3 linked regions of the Arabidopsis thaliana genome follow. The protein of the gene in region 3 interacts with the protein of the main gene of each other region in a biochemical or structural test. Each region holds a gene or a part of one and is shown on either strand. Other genes may lie near its edges.

Region 1 (3,757 bases), on a different chromosome or scaffold from region 3:
AACTTGAACAATTTCTAATTTCGGTACGAAAAATATGAATAAACCAAATTCATACAATTGTTTAGTTTTTTTTTTTTTAAGTTGTAAGCAAAATACAGCTGGTTTTAGCCTAAGTTTTGACCAATCGATATAGAAAACCCCAAATTAATAAATTGAATTGTGTTGCATGCAAAAAGGTGTCTGCATTAATGTAACTTTTGAGGATGTAAAGAAAGGTATATATATTTAATTAAACTAGGTGAAACATGTGCCCTCCTGTCAAATAAACCAATAAAATCAAACGCATTTTACTCTATCTAACTACTTTGTATTAAAATTTCTTTTGTTCCTCTTCGTTATTCTCTAAAGATTCACAATGCCAGCTAGCTCTAAGCCCTCACGATGGAAAACAGACTTTCGAAAATATAAAATCAAATAAATAAATGGCCATGTCTTGTTAAAAAATGTTTTAGAACATAAATGAGACAACTATGGATCTCTTTAAATTGGAAGATCGTCTGGCTTTGTTGTCTGATATTTGTCATTGATTCTACATATGTGAAAGTGTGTTTTAGCTGGATTTCTCGTTTTTTCTAGTTAATGCAGAATTAATTGGTCCAAGTGGTTACATAAAAATACTATGCTCATAATTATTGTGCTTAGCCTGTATTTGACGACACTTTAGAGATATAGAGCATGTACCACTTAAGCAAAGAAGACATTTATGAAATTGGTTCATGTACCTAAACTAAATTTGACAATAACCAAAATTTAGATAAGGATTTCTAGTAGATACAAAAATCTAAATAATTATAGCTCTAATCATTTATAACCAAATAAAAACACAGTTAGACCGTACATGGTATTATTGGAGAACGTTGTACAAAACGCAATCCAGTGCATCGAACTAATTTGTTTTTATAAGTTCTTAAAGAGGATTTTCCGCATAAGTTCCCTTTTAAGTTCTCAATAAGTCAAGCATATATCTAACTAAATATACACATTGACACATATATCAAATTAGTAATAAAGAGAGAAAAAAAAGAGAGTAAGAGTCACGGACCTCACTGGCAGAGATGTATCCATTTTGGTCTTTGTCAAAGACTTTGAATGCTTCTTTCAGCTCTTCCTCCGCATCACTTTCCTAAACCATCACATGATCATGACAACAACTTAACATACAAAAAAACTATTGTCATAAAAGTCTTTGTTTACATTATACACATTTACGTGTCTAGTTCTTCACAAATCAGATTTATTCGTAGTGAAAAACCGAAAGCAAAACAGATTTTGCTGTAATACAAAAGCTGAATATTTCCAATATATTTCTTAAGAGTTTTTAATAAACTAGAAGCATAATGAATGAGACAGCTCCATTTTGACTAGAACCTGTTAGGATCCCATATCAAAGAGTTACAATAAGGGACCTATAACATAATATATAAGAAATCATATAGACAAAAAAATTTCACTTGATGTAACTTTTTGGTTTGTACGTGGCTACGTTAACTTGATGTAATTAGTTGTGAAATAAATAAGCATGAGAGATCAAGAGAGAGTGGAACCTGAAGTTTTTTGGCCATGAGGTTGAGAAACTCAGCAAATTCAATGGTGCCGTTGCTATCAGAATCAATCTCAGTGATGATATCATGAAGTTCTTGTTCTGTCGGATTCTGATCCAACGAACGGATCACTGTTGCAAGTTCTTCCACCGTTATACAACCTATTAAAGGATTCCAAACAACCATAAATAAATGTCACACAACATAATATTAGTCGTCGTCTTTATTATCTTTATTCTATATATGACCATCTAGAGAAAGGAAGAGAACCGTCGCCGTCTTTGTCGAAGAGACAAAAGGCTTCTTTGAACTCAGTGATCTGATCTTTTGTCAGTGCTGTTTCTTCCATTGTTTTCTGAGAATATTTTGAAGACAAAGAGAGAGAGAGAGAGAGAGGAGGGAGCTCAAGGTTTGAAGTGCTTAAATCTCTGATTTATGGTCTATATGTAGAGTTGTGACAAGACCTTTTCTACATTGGACTTATGTACTTTTCAACTACTTTAAGCTCTTTAATTGATTCTCAAATTATTTTAAATTGAAAGGGCAGTACTGTTTTTTTTTTGGGTCTAGAACTCTTGGATTGAACAATTTAATTCTAGTCACATGGCTGAATCCCATATAATAAATTAATAATTGTCGCTGTTTGTTAAAGTTCAAATCACTTGTGCAAAATTAGTTTTGAAAAAATCATCTTATTCTAACAAGTAGAGACTACTACAAATAGACATAGAACGACAAGTCCTAAAACAAACAAGTATAAGCCTACAATAGTCTTTGATAAAACGTCCCTAACTTTTTCTGTCTAGTTCAAACCCATTAGCCACTCATTTTGTACGCAACAATTATGTTCTTTTGTTTTTTGTTTTTTTCTGTTTTTTCTTAAATAAAAATAAAAATATTTTATTGAAATGATAAAAATATAAATTTACAATCAAAAGATTTTAAGCCTATACAAATGATCCTATAACAAGAAAAATAAAACATAGAAGCATACATCGTGATTCACAAGTTTTGGTCAATCAACTCAACCAAAGCGTTGAAGCCGAACGAGTTAGATAAAAATATGACTATTTTGAAATTTTATCTTATAATTAAGTTTTTTGTTTTTTGTTTTTTTAAGAAGAAGGGTAACTACTGCTTGAAAAAAGCATAATGCTAAACTATTTGCATTAAAAACTTTGAATTGGAGGTCTAAGGATGAGCCGTCAACGGTAGAAACTCAAAGTTCTCTGGCATAAACTCCTCTCGCGTCATGTGACAGTGACTCGTTGTTCAAGTCCATAAGCTTTCCAATAATATGGAACCTCAAGAACCAAATTATGCGAACGATGCAAGCTCCATCTACCAATTTCTTTCCCCAAAGTCGGATAGAGCAGAGCATGATTTATGCGATTCATAACCACATCGAACACCATCGATCTTACTAACTCTTCTAGAACACAAAACAAACGCAACAAGAGGTGATAACTCATTGCAGCACTAACTTCAATTATGAAGAACCGCACTAGCAAGACACATTCAAAACCAGGTAGCACAAATAACTAGTCAAGAAATACAAGTGATGTCAACAAAAGAGACCGCAATTTAGCCACCACCGCAGCTACCAAATACACAATCTGAGAACCGAGACGATGCGATAAACTTGACGCTTTAAACATGTTCTTTTGTTTTTTCTGACTTCAAAATCAGTGATCACACTCTTTTAATACTCAGAAAGAACAACATTGAAATTTGTCTACGTACATCTCAACATAATGACCTCATTGGCCATCTTACCCGCTCCTGTCCATAGAAGACATATTAACGTACAACTCGACTGTCCATAGCTGTGAATGCATTAAGGCTATGAAGCTTAACTTGGCCAGCATGATTTTGTAGAATCCGTGCGTTCCCACACAATGATTTAAAAGTTTATCCACACAAATCATTCTATTTTCAAATTTGTTCCGATCGACGACATTTTCTAGAATTCACGGAGGTAGGAATTTTGAGAATATTACAGATTCATTTGAATCACATATTCACACCACTTATTTATTTTCCTATACATTTTGTTTGAATAATTGCGACTGTTTTTATATAACAGATGAAAATATATATTCCACGTCACATATCATAATTGAGAAGAATATCTACTGCTAAAAGATTGTAATCATTAAGAAGAATATCTACTGCTAAGAAATAATTTAGGAGATACTTGCTGACTTGCATTGAAT
Region 2 (3,757 bases), on a different chromosome or scaffold from region 3:
TATGAGAAATGGGAAATTGCAAGATGGCGAGATTGTTATAAGATCAATGCCGGTTCGTAATTTGGTTGCATGGAATACACTCATCATGGGGAACGCGCAAAACGGATGTCCTGAAACCGTGCTTTATCTGTATAAGATGATGAAAATCTCAGGTTGTAGGCCGAACAAGATCACATTTGTAACTGTGCTCAGTTCTTGTTCTGACTTAGCGATAAGAGGTCAAGGTCAGCAGATTCATGCGGAAGCTATTAAAATTGGGGCTAGCTCTGTCGTAGCTGTAGTTAGTTCATTGATCAGTATGTATTCAAAATGTGGGTGTCTTGGAGATGCAGCTAAAGCTTTCTCGGAACGTGAAGATGAAGATGAAGTGATGTGGAGCTCAATGATTTCTGCTTATGGGTTTCATGGACAAGGCGATGAGGCAATCGAGCTGTTTAATACTATGGCAGAGCAGACGAACATGGAGATAAACGAGGTCGCGTTTCTGAATTTACTTTATGCGTGTAGTCATTCTGGCTTAAAAGACAAAGGGCTTGAGTTGTTTGACATGATGGTGGAAAAATACGGGTTCAAGCCAGGTTTAAAGCACTACACTTGTGTGGTGGATTTGCTCGGTCGAGCAGGCTGTTTGGATCAAGCCGAGGCAATAATAAGGTCTATGCCAATAAAAACAGACATTGTTATATGGAAAACATTGTTATCTGCGTGTAACATACACAAAAACGCAGAAATGGCACAGAGAGTCTTTAAAGAGATTCTTCAGATTGACCCTAATGACTCTGCTTGTTACGTCCTGCTTGCAAATGTTCACGCCTCAGCTAAGAGATGGCGCGATGTATCAGAGGTGAGAAAATCGATGAGAGATAAGAATGTGAAGAAAGAAGCGGGAATCAGCTGGTTTGAACACAAAGGTGAAGTTCATCAGTTTAAGATGGGAGATCGCTCTCAGTCTAAATCTAAAGAGATCTATTCATACCTGAAAGAACTGACTCTGGAGATGAAGCTGAAGGGATACAAGCCTGATACAGCGTCAGTATTGCATGATATGGATGAGGAGGAGAAAGAATCAGACTTGGTGCAGCACAGCGAGAAACTAGCGGTTGCATTTGCGCTCATGATATTACCTGAAGGTGCACCGATTAGAATAATCAAGAACTTGCGGGTTTGCAGTGATTGCCATGTTGCTTTCAAATATATATCGGTGATCAAGAACCGAGAGATCACGTTAAGAGATGGTAGTAGATTCCATCATTTCATTAACGGAAAGTGTTCTTGCGGCGATTATTGGTAGCTGGGCAGTTAAAGTATGCTATGACTCTCTGCTTCAGAGTCTTTCTGGAGTCTTAAGCACTCAGATTGGATCGGGAAGCCATCTGGGACGAAAGCATTCAGCAGCAAGGGTAAAATTACACTGCGGGTAGTAGCTTTGTAGTCTACCTTGAGATTGCTCCTGCCTGTGTTATTCTTGAGTCAGGAACATGAAGTGGTTTGCTGTCAACTTTACTTACTCAAGCCATCTCCGCAAGGTAGAAACTATGGTTCGCGTTATTTCGTATGTACCATGTTTTTGGTCGTTTGTGTAGTTTCTAACCTTCCACACCCTTGGCTTGCGATTCTTTCCAAAGCAGAGATGTTAGATCAGAGGATGGAGTGGGTTCTCAAGTAGAATGCACTTGCGAATCCCTCAGATCAGATTTTTCATAGGTAAAGTTCGTTAACTTCAACAACACCACTTTAGTAAACATGTGATAATCAATCGTCATAAGCATCTTCGATTCATTTTTATCTTATGCAAGTGTTTGCTTTATTATGATTTGTTAAGTTTTGCATAAATACGGACGTTGAAGCACTTCCCAGAACTCATGAGTGTTTTTATAAACTATTTATTAAAAGTTAGTATAAGAAAACTATAACATAAAAGTAAAATATAATTTAGACAAATGTAGCGATTGGTCCAGTTACTCATCCAAAATTCCAAATGAATCTTCCACCGTTGATAATTCTATTCCATTGTTTTCTTCTGTAGAAGACCATATATTATTAAGTCTCTAGTCCATTGTCAATAAATGGAAATACAAAAAAAAAAAAAAAAAAAAAAAGAAGAAGAAGAAAAAGACAGCATTTAATGAACGAAAATAATATTAATGAATTTGGAAGAAGGAACGAACCAACGAGAAAAATCAACGAAATAATTTAGACAAATGTAGCGATTGGTCCACTACCCATCCAAAAGTCCAAATGAATACTTCACCGTTGATAATTCTATTCAATTGTTTTCTTCTGTAGAAGACCATATATTATTAAGTCTCTAGTCCATTGTAAATAAATGTTTCTTTCAAATAAATGGAAATACAAAAAAGAAAAGAAAAAAAAGACAGCATTTAATGATGATAACGATTTGGAAGAAGGAACCAACCAATTAGAGTAACAAACCAAGGAGGCGACTCACATGAAAGCAAAAGCTGACATGGCAGTGAATTCAGTTTTATAAAAAAGGCTTCAAGGCCGAGAGTTCGTAGTACAAACTCTTCTCTCAGTCATCACAGAAAATAAAAAACAATGGCGAATAAGTTCACTAGACAACAGATTTCAGAGTTTAGGGAACAGTTCAGCGTATACGACAAGAATGGTGATGGTATGGTTCATCGTCTCTATTCCTCTAATCGTACATATTGGATCCTGAATCATCTTCAAAGCACTGAAAATGACTAACACAAGTCCTTGATTACTTCTTGTAGGTCACATTACCACAGAGGAGTTCGGTGCCGTGATGCGTTCCCTCGGTTTAAACCTGACCCAAGCTGAGCTTCAGGAGGAGATCAACGATTCGGATTTAGATGGTGACGGAACCATCAATTTCACTGAGTTCTTGTGCGCAATGGCTAAGGACACTTACTCTGAGAAAGACCTCAAGAAAGATTTCAGACTCTTTGACATAGACAAGAATGGTTTCATCTCAGCTGCTGAAATGAGATATGTGAGGACTATCCTCCGGTGGAAGCAAACTGATGAAGAAATCGATGAGATTATCAAGGCAGCTGATGTTGATGGTGATGGTCAGATCAACTACAGAGAGTTTGCCAGGCTTATGATGGCCAAGTGAGATTTAAACAACTTTTCCGCTTCCCCTTTTTTTACTACCTCTTATCTAATTTCATAAAGAATGTTCCTCTCTTGTTCTTAAATTTCATTCTGAGTTCTTGTGTGTATGGCTAGGAATCAAGGTCATGATACTAAATATGACACAACTGGTGGCACTTTGGAGAGGGACTTGGCGGCCGGGGTTGCCAAAAATATCATCGCAGCGCCAATGACCGACTTCATCAAAAATTTGTTCGAAGCGTTGTTTTCTTGAAATGGTACATCAGTAACTTTATGCCATTAGGGTCTGGCTGGTATGTTAGATCTCTCTAAAAAGGCGTTTGATCTTTGAAAATAATTTCTATGTAATAAATTTATTGTGTTACCATCTTTTCTTGCATGCAATTTATTAAAATGAGTTTGTAATATGGTTTCAGTATCGAATATAATTGGGGTATCAATGTATCTTTTGAGAAAAACATTTAAAACGTAGCAGAACTAATTATTGAAAACTGGTAGCATTACTAAAAATTGATCTAAATCGGTTAATGATTTGGCACATACAGTGATCAAATCAGCTAAGCCTCATATCTCACCGTCCCAGAGTTCTTCAAGACTCTTATAAGGACTCATCTAATGAATAATGACATGCCTCGCACCAACCTGCCCTGCAACA
Region 3 (3,757 bases):
AACCGGAGATCTCCGGAGGAATGTTTCCGATGAGACGATTCTCACTTATATCGATGAAGTTGAGATTTTTCAGATTCCCAATCTCCGCCGGAATATTCCCCGCGAGTCTGTTACCGTTGAGTCTTAACCGGTAAAGATTCGTGCAGTTTCCAATATCCGGTGGTATGAATCCAGATAAGTAGTTAGAGAGAAGAAGAAGCTTCGTGAGGTTTCGAATCTCAAAGATTCCATTAGGTATCGAACCAGAGAGATTGTTGTAGGAGAGATCAATCGCTTGAAGCTCTTGACATTGAGAAAGAGACTCTGGAATTATTCCGGTTAACTGATTCTGCCACGCAAAGAACATCGTCAAGCTTGTTAATTTCCCGATCAACGGCGGAATCTCGCCGGAGATTTGGTTGTTATCGATCTCTAAATGCGTCAACTTCGTGCAATTCGCGAGTTCTTCAGGGATTGTACCGGAGAGCTGGTTAACACTTAGCTGAAGCTCTTGGAGATTTGGAAGGTTTCCGAAGCTTCTTGGGATGTTTCCGGTGAGGAGATTTTCCGATAAATCGACGAGGAAAAGCTCCGGACAGGTGCCTAGCTCGGTAGGGATCTTTCCGACGAGATTGTTTTGCCATAAGAGAAGACTTTGAAGCTTCTTGAGACGTCCCATTGATACAGGAATCGATCCAGAGATTGAGTTTTGGTACAAGTAGAGGTTTTGAAGCTCTGTGCAGTTTCCAATCTCATCAGGGATTGGACCAGACAAGAGTGACGTGTAAAGAGCTATTGTCTGAACCTTTTTCAGGTTTCCGATCGACGCCGGAAGTCTACCGGAGAGACTTGTTTCGGCGAGACCTAAAGTCACAAGACTCTCGCAGTTACCAATCTCCCAAGGAAGCTCTCCTCTGAGATTCTTGTTACCACCTGCACGGAAGATTTCTAGATTCTTGAGTTCTCCGATGGTTCTAGGAATCTCTCCGGCGAGTTTATTGTCGAAGAGAGTGAGCTCGATGAGGTTAACGAGATTCCCTAACTCCGATGGAATCACACCTTCGAGATTATTTGTGTTGAGAGACAGAATCTTTAGTTTCTTGAGCTTGAAGATATCCACAGGGATTTCACCAGAGAGAGAATTATCAGCTAAATCAAGAACTTCTAGCTCCGACAAGTCTCCAAGCTCCTTAGGGATTGAACCAGTGAGATTCACGGAGGTTAAGCTGAGCAAAGTCAGAGACTTTATCTGTCGGAGATTCGTCGCCGGTAACGGACCTTGAAAATCCATGACTTGGAGTTGTATCTCCGAGACTTGACCTCTTTCGTTGCATTTGATTCCCACCCATTGACAAGGATTCGATTCGGAGGCTTTCCAAGAAGATAAAGCGTCTCCGGAGATGTTCAACTGAGATTTCCATGAGAGGAGAGCTAGACCCTGTTCGTCTATGGAAAAACAGGGGATGGAGAAGAAAAGAGAGGAGTGAAAAAGAAGGAAGAGGAAGAAGCAGAATCTAGGGTTACGTGGCATTGGTGAAGAGGGAGAGGAAGAAGAAGAAGTGAGAGATAGAGAGAGAGGTGCGTTGGGATTGTGAAGCGAAGAACCCCATGGATTTGGTTTTTACTTTGATTTTATAGAAATATATAAAAACAGAGCAAACCAAAGGAGAGAGAGAGAAGAAGAAGTAGTAAAGGAAGATCTGGATCCCAAAAAGCACCTCTACCTTTTTCCCTTTATTATTATTTTCCAAACAATGTCACTTTATTTTTTCACCATTATTTGTTTGTGAACAAAACAGAATTATATAAGTTGAAAATTAAATAAAAATATAGATGAAAAGAGTGGTAAATTATATTTATTCCTTTTCTTGTAAGTGGATTTATCTGTGGTAAATGCTTCTAGATGAGGCATGCTGATAATATTATTCATAAATGGTAAAAAAAAAAAACTCCTATAGATCTAACTATTACATAGTCATAAATCATCTAAGAAAATTAGGTTATCAAATTCAGAAAATGACATGTTAGAATTGGCCCTATTATTTGTTATTTCTGGATTGTTATCTTTTAAGAAACAAAAGGAAGATAACGTTTACTCAGATCAATAATGACTTCTAGACTTCTAGTTACTAATAATGATATTTGTTGAATGCTACTACTAGTAGTACTACTACTACCTATTATTGATAAACGACGCATAACATAATTGGGGTTTTCTAATGCTTCGAAAGAAACATTTAGATAATTTGGATTGTGATTATTTGTTTTTTTTTTTGTTTACTTTGGGAGAGTCTGAAGTGGCTATATAGTGGTAAAAATGAGATTAGTAAATAACTGAAAGAAAGATGGAGATATCTACTTTGGATTTCTGATATATAAATTATTAAATTAGTAGTTGAAACATGGAATCTTGAAGAGTGTGAAATGCACATGAAAGCTAGGAATTTATGTGAAAGATTAATTAAATTTACTAATGCTCATCTCTGCTAGCATTGTCGGTCCATTTCATTCGCTGTAATTATCTGTTTATATCATACGTATGCTAATACTAATTAATATCCATATACATATATACACTTGCTCATACATATATTGAATTAAGATGAAGGTGTTTTAGATCCAATTTCTTGGACTGGAAATTTAGAATACTGATTAGAAAAATTAAAAAGGAGGAACTGGACAAAACAAAAAGATTATGGAAAAGATAAAGTAAACTAAAATTAAGATCATGGGTCAAGCATCATTAGGTCAAGAAGATTATATATAAAGATATAACACCACACCTCAAGTCACATGCCATAGTAGAATCAAAAGATTAAATATGTATCAATAGATATGTAGAGAGATGGTTATGCATGTGCATATCTATACACATAGTAAAGTGAGAGAAAGCATTTCGACAACATGGTTTTATTCTGCAGGTATTTAATTATGGAATAGTGTGTACTCTAATTACCGTAAATTTCACTTAAAAACTGGTGATGTTAATCATATATTGATGTAATATGTTTCGTAATATGTAACTTTTGTTGTAAGTTAGAGACAACAGATATTCTTTCATTTTAAAGAGTTACATTAATGGTAAGCAAGTAACAAAGTTTCTTTCTCACAAAAATACGAATATCTCTTGGGGTCTACCACATTTACATGAAATGTACATACTAAATCATTTGCATAAACAGTACTAGTGTGTCTAAATCATTCTCAGGCGCACCGTGGTACAAATGACCTCAACTTTAAGACCAAAAGTTTTGCTAACGCTTTGAATTCGACGTATGTACATATTTCGTGTGAGGCATTTCATCATTTGGACTAAGCTCCAACGTTTTGTCAACCCTTGATCTATAACTTCTTTCTTTGGTTTATAACTTATGGAGTATTTGTTTAGTTTTAATAAATAAATAAGAGAGTCATACCAAAATAAAATTAAAATAAGAGACGAACATGTGTGGGGAGAGTTAAATGAATATGGTCCATAAAGAGGAAAAATAAAAGGGAAAACAATAAGCCAAAAACCAACAAACAAGAAGGAAGTAAAGAGACAGCAAAAGATGCAAGAGAAAAGACAAGTACCCAACTGTATTTTCCAAACTTGTTAAAATTTTGATTTCTTTCTCAAATCTTATGATTATCATTAAATGGTCCATATTGTTCTTTTGTCTATCGCATCTATCGTTATTTGAATTAGTGTCGTCGACAATTAATGACTGTTATAGCTAAGCAGCTTCCAAATTATACATGTTCACATATGTATGCAATGAAGGGTGATGGTTTTTAT

Evidence for each region.
Region 1: the proteins of AT5G56040 (region 3) and CAM8 form a complex in vitro, tested with the Arabidopsis thaliana proteins (one large-scale study listed by BioGRID).
Region 2: the proteins of AT5G56040 (region 3) and AT2G41090 form a complex in vitro, tested with the Arabidopsis thaliana proteins (one large-scale study listed by BioGRID).

The regions. Positions count from the first base shown.
Region 1 is NC_003075.7:8,395,933-8,399,689, reverse strand, and holds the start of CAM8 (calmodulin 8), read right to left. Parts: upstream 1,979-3,757; 5' UTR 1,891-1,978; coding exon 1,812-1,890; exon of another isoform or gene 1,728-1,811; coding exon of another isoform or gene 1,703-1,727; coding exon 1,545-1,702; intron 1,124-1,544; coding exon 1,043-1,123; coding exon of another isoform or gene 995-1,042; exon of another isoform or gene 985-994; intron 1-984.
Region 2 is NC_003071.7:17,133,264-17,137,020, forward strand, and holds AT2G41090 (Calcium-binding EF-hand family protein), read left to right. Parts: upstream 1-2,083; 5' UTR 2,084-2,559; coding exon 2,560-2,635; intron 2,636-2,738; coding exon 2,739-3,099; intron 3,100-3,216; coding exon 3,217-3,355; 3' UTR 3,356-3,736; downstream 3,737-3,757. Other genes in the region: AT2G41080 (pentatricopeptide (PPR) repeat protein), read left to right, coding at 1-1,291; AT2G41082 (uncharacterized protein), read left to right, coding at 1,562-1,666.
Region 3 is NC_003076.8:22,692,803-22,696,559, reverse strand, and holds the start of AT5G56040 (Leucine-rich receptor-like protein kinase family protein), read right to left. Parts: upstream 1,738-3,757; 5' UTR 1,511-1,737; coding exon 1-1,510. UniProt on the Arabidopsis thaliana protein: Receptor with a serine/threonine-protein kinase activity.